Mus musculus: one gene and its partner. The protein of the gene in region 1 interacts with the protein of each later gene in a biochemical or structural test. Links are inferred from orthologs where the notes say so. Each region holds a gene or a part of one and is shown on either strand. Other genes may lie near its edges.

Region 1 (4,289 bases):
TGTTGCTCTCACAGGTGTGATTCTGCTCTCAGATAGAGGCTTGAAAGTAGGTGGAAATCTCTATATGATCACAAACGAAGTTCTTCTACTAGAGCTCCTGTTGGAACTGTGGTCCCTCTCAGCTGAGCCCACAATAAGGCATTTTATCTCTAGATTGACCAGGGCAGGTTTCTCACCGCTAGATTATGTCTCCTTAAGTCTGATGCTAATTGGCTGAAGATGGAGGAAAGCAGACAAAGTTTCTCTGTGTAGCCTGGCTGTCCTGGAACTCACTCTGTAGATCAGGCTAGCCTAGAACTCACAAATATCCATCTACCTCTGCCTCCTGAGTGCTGGGATTAAAGGCATGCATCACCACTGCCTGGCAAGAGTCAAGTTTTTACAAGAACATTGATATAGCTAAGCACCTTCCCTTGAAAGAGAAAAAGCTAAAAGAAGGAATTTTGTTTTTCTAGATTTATTCATCCTGTTTATAAAACAAAATTTGACAAGGAAAAACTAAACAAAAATACAAGAAAAAAAAAACCACTAAAACAGATCAGGACAAAAAAAACAAAACAAAACAAAAACCCCAGACTTTTAAAAAAACATATTTTTAAAGATTTATTATTATATGTAAGTGCACTGTAGCTATCTTCAGACACACCAGCAGAGGGAGTCAGATTTTATTACAGAGGGTTGTAAGCCATGTGGTTGCTGGGATTTGAACTCAGGCCTTTGGAAGAGCAGTCAGTGCTCTTAACTGCTGAGCCATCTCTCTAACCCTTTCAAAATATTTTTTAAAACGTATTTATATATTAAATATGTGTACAGGTGTTTTGCCTCACGCCTGTGCGAATACAGGTGCAGTGCCTGAAGAGGCCAGAAGGCCGCAATGGATCTCCTGGAACTGGAGTTACAGATGTCTGTGAGCCATCTTGTGAATGCTGGGAGCAGAACCTTGGTCCTCTACCAGAGCAGCAAGTACTTTTAATTGCTTAGCCACGTCTCCGGCCCACAATCACACCTTTCAAATACAAGAATCAGTGTGGTTCTAGCATTTTTAAAAAACAAAGTCTTACTATGTAGCCCAGGCTGGCCTGGAACTCACAGAGATCCTCCTGCCTCGGCCTTCTGAGTGCTGGGATTAAAGGCATTTGCTGCTACCCGCAGCTGTAGTTCTGATCTTTGAAATAATAAAAATAACCTGAAATTGAGATCCATACGTGTTTTGTTTTGTTTGTTTGTTTGTTTTTAACAAATGTTCCTTTCAGCTCTCTTTCTTGATAAAAACAAAAAGTGAAACCAGAGACTTTTACAGAGTTACTCGGGTTTTTTTCCTCCTAACGTCTTACTTTTTTAACTTAGCAGTTATATTCCGGACAGTTGTGGCTCTTTTTTTACAGTGAAGGACTTGGAGGCTGCAGGAGGGAAGCGCGGTGAGGGTGGGGTGGGGATAGGCCTCTTAAGGCGGAACTCACAGGCTGCACATCTGTTTTCAATGTTTTGTAAGAGCCAAGAGCCTTCAAGTAAAAACTTTCAGTAAATGACACGAAGAGGAGCTGGGTCCAGGAAGTCACGCACAGAAGAGCCACGGAAATCCCCAGCCAGGGTGGCCACCAAGGGTGAGGAGGAAGTGCGTCTGGTTTTCACCCTGGAGTTCCCCGGAGCCCTGGAGGAAAGCACCGCAGGTCTGAGCAGCCCTGAGCCGGGCAGGGTGGGGGCAGTGGCTAAGGCCTAGCTGGGGACGATTTAAAGGTATCGCGCCACCCAGCCACACCCCACAGGCCAGGCGAGGGTGCCACCCCCGGAGATCAGAGGTCATTGCTGGCGTTCAGAGCCTAGGAAGTGGGCTGCGGTGAGTACGCGCGCGCGTGGGGATCCAGCCAGGGTCCCCGTAGTGGCTCGAGGATCACCGGGGTGACTAGATCCGAAGGAGAACCTGCAAAACCCGTTTCTATGCATCGGTGGTCCTGCGGGAGGGCGACCTACAGGTTGGCCACGCTGACCCTGGCTGCCCCCCCTCCCCCCACCCCCTCCCCGCTTGCGGGAGCTCGACTTTCTGAGTCTTTTCCGGTCTCTGACTTTCTGAGTGAGGCGTAGGTGCCGAGAAGTTGCATTTTAATTAGGCTGCTGCGGGAGGCATCTGGGAGACTTGACACAGTGAGAACTCTGGCGTCTAAGGATGAGCTTGTGGAAAGCTCATGGTTGTTTTCTTGGTGGCCAGCTCAGGAAAACACTACAGCTCTTTCTTTTTTTTTGGGGGGGGGGGGGTGTTTCGAGACAGGGTTTCTCTGTGTAGCTCTGGCTGTCCTGGAACTCATTCTGTAGACCAGGCTGGCCTCGAACTTAGAAATCTGCCTACCTCTGCCTTCCAAGTGCTTGGATTAAAGGAGTGATGGGTGTGTCAGAGACCATTTCACACTATAGCTGACTGGGGCTTTGAACTTCGGAAAAATCCTCCTGCCTTAACCCCTTCAGTGCTGGGATTATAGGCCTGAGTCACTGTACTCAATTTCTCAGCAGTGCTCTTAATCTAGCCGGTAAATCTCTGGAGTCGTTTCTGTCTGCCCCAAGCCAGGTTCTGATCATCCGTTGTAAAAAGCAGGTGCCATTACTATCCCCTTTTCGCACCTAGGAAACTGAGGCACGAGTGGCTTTTCTTAGTCTCACTATGGAGCACTGGTTGGGCTGGAACTGGATAAGTAAACAGGCTGGCTTTGAACTCAAGGAAACACTGACGTCTACCCACCTCTGCCTCCAGGGTAATGGGATTAGGGGCGTGTCTGGCCACTTGGTGGTTTTCTTGCCCAACATTACACTGTTGGTGGAAAAGGGACTGACTCTCTTGAAATCCTGTGATGTGAGACTCCAGAGCATGGGAGTAAATTGCCACGAGGTCAAGTTAGCAGTAATAGGGGGAAATTAACAAATGAAAGTGCCATGAACATGCTGGGCACAGCCAGCTGTGCTAAGAAATTCTTCCATGCCAGTGTTTGCTGGGGTTAGTAGTGCAGGTCTGTAATCTTAGCACTTGGGAGGTGGAGGCTGAAGGATCAGGTGTCCAAGGTCAGTCTGGGCTGTGTGTCTCACACAACAGCAGCTAGGCACTGTAGCTGCAGCTACTACAGAGGTTAAAGCTTATTTCCTATTCTGTAGGAGATATGGTCCAAGGTGGAGGGAGGAAGATGGCACAGCTAATTGCTCCAGAGGGTGGGGGCACACAATAGTCTCTGGGTCTACTGGACATGGTAGTGTAAGCAGAGAAGAAACTGGGGTGCCAAGCTCATCTATAAGGAACCACTGGAAAGAAAGAGGGCTCCTACACACTGATGTGGACTAGGGCAGGGATCAGAACAGGCCTAAGAGGAAGCAAATTTTATTTTATGAGTATGGAGAGGGAAAGGTGCTGGCACACGGACTGGCTGTCTGTGTGGAAATGTGGTTCATAAACAAATGTTCTGCCGGCTTGCCAGACTCAGGAGTGGCTGGAGTAGAGACTTCAGCATTACTGTATAGAGGGACAAGGACCCTGCGGGGTTTGAGGAAATATGAAGAAGAGTCCTTCAGAGTAGTAGGAGGGCCCATGAAGGGGCACTTGTTTCTCTGAGGTGGCCAATAGACCTGTGAACAGAGGGCAGGCAAAGGAAGGCAGGCTGAGGGCCTCACCTAGTGAGGAACGGAGCCAGCTGAATGAAACAGTGATCTTGGAAGGACTGAGGGTTATTTCTACAAATTCGGCTCAGGATGTAGAGAAAACAATTGCGTCTGTTGCTGGGGACACAAACTAGTCTAACCTCTAAGGAAATCAGTGGAACAGACCCTCGAAAGGTTGAAAACAGAACCACCATAGGACTGAGCTCTACTGCTCCTTGGCAGGCACATGGAGGAGTATACCTGAGTACCCTGTCACTGCACTGTTCCTGTGAGGACACACCATGGCCAATACAACTTATAAAGGAAAGCATTTAACTGAGGCTTGCTTACAGTTTCAGGGGGAAGTCCATGATCACCACGTGGCAACATGCAAGCGGGTGCTGGAGCAGTATGTCTTAGTTAGGGTTTTACTGCTGTGAACAGACACCATGACCAAGGCAACTCTTATAAGGTCAACGTTTAGTTGGGCTGGCTTACAAGTTCAGAGGTTCAGTCCATTATCATCCAGGAGGAACACACTGGCATCCAGGCAGACATGGTGCAGGAGGAGCAGAGAGTTCTAGATCTTCATCTGAAGGCTGCTAGTAGAATACTGGCTTCTGGACAGCTAGGATGAGGATCTTAAAGCCCACACCCACAGTGACACACTTACT
Region 2 (4,085 bases), on another chromosome or scaffold:
CCTCAGTGTATTGTGCACTCACCCTTCCCAGTTTACCTAGAGACCTGGTTCCCTCTGTTCTGTGGGACAGACTCCTAGGCTGGTGTGCATCTTCTGCAGGACGGTAGTTCTGAGCTTACCACGTACTTCCTCAAGAGGAAATGCAGTGGAGCTACCTAGAATACACCAAACAGATGACAAATGGAATGTTCCAGGAATGTCTCCAGCTTCCTTGCCCCTCTGCTGTCCCTCTTAGCAGTATAATCTGCAGCCTATCTGGCTACTTCATCCTCGATTTCCAAGTCCCCTTAAGGGTTTCACATCAAAGGTGGCTTTGTGATGGGTTTACTCTATATGCAGACAAGTGTCTTCAGACCTTTGCAGGAGGCCTTTTCTGATTCTTCCTGGTGCCCTTTATAGGTTTGTCCCCTATCTTATCATAGGTAAAATGTATATTTATCTATTTATATTGGCTTACTTGTTCTCTGTCCAACTAGAATGTAGCAATTGAGAAGAGAATCTCATTTCGTGGAGACATTGCCATGTCCGGCACCAAGCACAGTTCTCCCACATAATTCCATCTCTAAGAAGAACTCTAAAACACAAGCCTGCAACCCCAGCATGAGGCAGAAGCCGAAGAATCAGACAGCCAAGGTCATCCTCTGTATAGTGGGCTCTTGGACAGCTGAGTTGAGAGCATGTCTCGAACAAAACCCCTAAACAAACAAACAAACAAACAAACAAGCAGAATGCATGTCTCAAGGTTGGTGGTTCTCAAGCCCCTAGCTGCACCTTGTCCCTACATGCTTCAGGCCCCAGAACAGCAACAGTGCCGGAAACAAGATTGTACTGGCCCACAATTTGACGCATTCAGGCCTTTCGGTGTTATTTTTCTCCATATACCCCATAACAAAGATCATCTGGCTTGGGGTCAAATTCTGACTCAGCTACTTAGCAGTTGAGTTGAACTTCATCTCTCGCGGTTTCATTTTCGCTACGTGGTGAGGACACAGGGGGACGGAAACAGCCTGGGAACAGGCGCGGGGCTCCACAGCCCTTCCCCCCCATTCTATTCTCCCGGAAGCGCACGGTCACCCCGGGGCCCTCGAGCCGAGCACCTGCACGCCTCCCCCGCGCTCGGGCTGGGCGGGGCTTGCAGGTTGCCCCGCCCTCATGCTCGCTCACTGAAGACTCGGGCAAAGCCCTTCCCGCCCGGCTCCTGCGACCCCGAGCGGGCGTCAGCGGCACCGTTTGCGGCTGCGCCTACACCTGCGCCTGCGCACTAGCGCCCGGAGAAAAACTCAAGGGGGGGTGAAGAAGGGGCCGGCCTTCGAGCGACAGCGACGCAAGATGGCAGCCACCACAGGCTCGGGTGAGCGGGGGCGCCGGGCGTGCTGGCGGACGGGGCGCGGGCTCCCTGGGCTTGGTCCCGGTCTAGCGGAGGCCATGGTGGCCGGGACAGGGCTCCGCGCTGTCCCTGCGGCTGCGTTTGGCTGCTCGGCCGGGCCTGGGACCATCAGGCGGCGGCCGGAAGCCCGGGCGGGGGCAGCCGGGCCGTGGGCGGTGCGGCCAAGCCGGAGGCTCGGGCGCCTCCGGGGGGCGGGGGGTGGGGGAGAGGCCGGCAGAGGGGCCGAGTGTGCTCGGGAATGCCCGGGCGAGGTCCCGCTGGGAGCTGGCCCGGGCGACTGGGAGCCGGGAATGCCCGGCGGGGGTACGCGGGCGCAACCCTAGGGAACACGCACGGAGCCTCGCGGGCCGCAGGCGAGGCCGCCGGGGCCCCGCGTCAATTTAGGGTCGGGGCTGCTCTCATCGTGGTGGTCGCTTCCCAGGGAAATCCGGGCACCTGCACGGGCTGAGCCCGGGCGTTCTGCCGTGGGAGCAGGCCTGGGTTGCAGAGACCAGGGATAGGTTTCAGAAGGCGCGCTGGGAGCCGAGCGCCGCGTTGGATGGGCACGAGCAGGTGCCTAGGAAGCCCTGGTGTGTGTGTCGGGGGGTGGGGTGGGGTCTGTTGGGGCGTGTCGCCATTGGGAAGGCTCCTGCAGTGGGGAGAATGGGATGGGGTGCAGTCCCGCAGATGCTGCTTTTAGAGAAGAAAAACCTCTTCCTGCGGGGAGCGGATGGAGGAAGTGCCTGTCACTCCTAATCCTTCTGCGAATTGGGGGAAAATATGTGGGTTCAACTCAGAAACTCTCCATTATCTGGATGGGTAGGAGAGGAGCAGTGAAATGAGAGCCCTTGGATCAAATGGAAGGGATAGCAAGAGGGTAAAGGGGATGCTCTTAGGGGAGAAGCTCTTGTCGGTCTCTGATGGGCTAAGAAGAGAAGGCCAGATGGGGAGACCCGAAGGGTCTGCTGCCTTAGAACCGGCAACCTGTACTTGATTATGAGCCATGGACTCTGGCAGGCTAGAGAAGGTGGAGTGGGTTTGGTGAAGGAGATCCCCCGGGGTCTGGGAAGGCATGGGAGTCTGCTTTTCCAATGAAGGATTCAGGAGAGAGTGGGTGCTCCCTTCTGGTGTGGGGCTATATCCTCGGGAGTCTGTTGGTGGAGGTGAGCAAGGGGTAAGGACAGGCCACCAGCCTAGGCACTGGTGTTTTGGGGCTGTGAGGCCACCAGAGGAGATGTTGTGGGGTGGGAAGCAGAGAGGTGCTGCCTGCAGTGACCCACCACACAGTGCCTGGTGTGTCCTGGAGAAGACTGCGGAGCCAAGTCAGTCCATTTCCTGACAAACACATGGCGGTGGGCACTTGGGAAGACCCAGTCTGCCACAGGCTGTACTGGGGTGGGATGCAGGGTATCTCGCAGAGAGGTGCCAGGCAGCCAGTACTGGGGTGGCCCTACCAGTCAGCACTGCTTGTCCTTGCTTTAGGACATCTCAGGATCCGGTTTGACAGCCACTTCTAACTTCTGAGGCCCTGCCCGTGCCTCAGGAGTGCAGATAGAAACAGCAGCTCAGCAGCAGCTGCTGTGTACAGAATCCAGAAGAGTTTGGGCTGGGTGAGGCTCAGTGCTAGAGTGATCTGACCAGCAAGTCGGAGGCCCTGGATTCCATCCCTAGCTCCATGAAAAGAAGGAAGCGCACATAGCACAGCTTAGATAGCATAGGAAGGCTTTAGGGAACCCAGAAACAGGCGTTCCTCAGCGCCTGTCTAGTCCACAGATGGTTCCTGGGGCCTCTTGTGTCCTGTTACTAGTAGCAGACAAGGTAGACAGAGCACTGTCTTTAGGTTTCATTCAAACCAGACAGAAGGCCATTCAGGATGGAAATAAAGTGACTCCAAAAAGCAGGAAGTGCTCTGAAGAAAATTGTGTGCTGTGATGAGCGAGTCTGATGAGGAGGGGGCAGGCTTCTCTCAGGGCCAACCCTGGAACTGAGACCAGTGGTGGGAAGAGCAAGGCCTGTGGCCGTGGGAAAGTACCATCGGTGCGGTGGGGACACTTGTGTTGAAAGATGAGATTAAAGGCCATGGGGCAGTAAGGTGGCCCAGCAGACAAAAGGCCCTTGGCGAGCCTTGGGACCTGAGCTTGATCTCCACATGGTTGGAGGAAAGAACGGCTTCCACAGTTGCCCGCCGCCCTCCACTTGTGCCCCTCCCGTAACAAAGGACCTTAGTAATGAGATGGAGAGAGAAGACTTTGGGCTTTACTAAGTGCAAGGGGGAGCCATGGAACAGATGCCTGCTATGAGCAGCATTGAGTGTTTGGTTGATGAATGAATGAATGCCTTGAAGAGAATGATGAATGGTGAGCTCTGACTTGAGCCCCAAGGCATCAGGAGACTGCAGTGGTGAGAGTGGAAGCAGGACCTTCGTTAAACTTGGTGCTTAGTCTCCTCTCCCTGCTACAACCTTCAGGTGTGCTCAGGCCTTGGGCCGCCTGTAGACTGAGCCTGGTCATTAATCTGTGCCCTGGTTACCAGGAAACCACTGTGTGGCCTTGGAGTCCTGTGACGCCCAGCTCAGGTGGTATGGTCACTGCTGCTGGCATCTTCCCACATTGTTCGCTGTTGTAATTTTGGCGCAGGTCTCAGAGAGGAGCTGAGATGAGCCCACTACAGCCACTCAAGATGTCTACAATTGAAGGGACGTCTCTCCTGTGTGTCCAGG

What was found.
Region 2: the proteins of Birc3 (region 1) and Ube2v1 form a complex in vitro, tested with the Homo sapiens proteins (2 studies listed by BioGRID). The link is inferred for Mus musculus from reciprocal best matches to the Homo sapiens genes BIRC3 and UBE2V1.

What each region holds. Positions count from the first base shown.
Region 1 is NC_000075.6:7,870,371-7,874,659, reverse strand, and holds the start of Birc3 (baculoviral IAP repeat-containing protein 3), read left to right. Parts: upstream 1-1,489; 5' UTR 1,490-1,525; coding exon of another isoform or gene 1,526-1,670; 5' UTR 1,671-1,837; exon of another isoform or gene 1,838-1,973; intron 1,974-4,289. UniProt on the Homo sapiens protein: Multi-functional protein which regulates not only caspases and apoptosis, but also modulates inflammatory signaling and immunity, mitogenic kinase signaling and cell proliferation, as well as cell invasion and metastasis.
Region 2 is NC_000068.7:167,629,206-167,633,290, reverse strand, and holds the start of Ube2v1 (ubiquitin-conjugating enzyme E2 variant 1), read left to right. Parts: upstream 1-1,285; 5' UTR 1,286-1,329; coding exon 1,330-1,351; intron 1,352-4,002; exon of another isoform or gene 4,003-4,021; coding exon of another isoform or gene 4,022-4,085. UniProt on the Homo sapiens protein: Has no ubiquitin ligase activity on its own. The UBE2V1-UBE2N heterodimer catalyzes the synthesis of non-canonical poly-ubiquitin chains that are linked through Lys-63.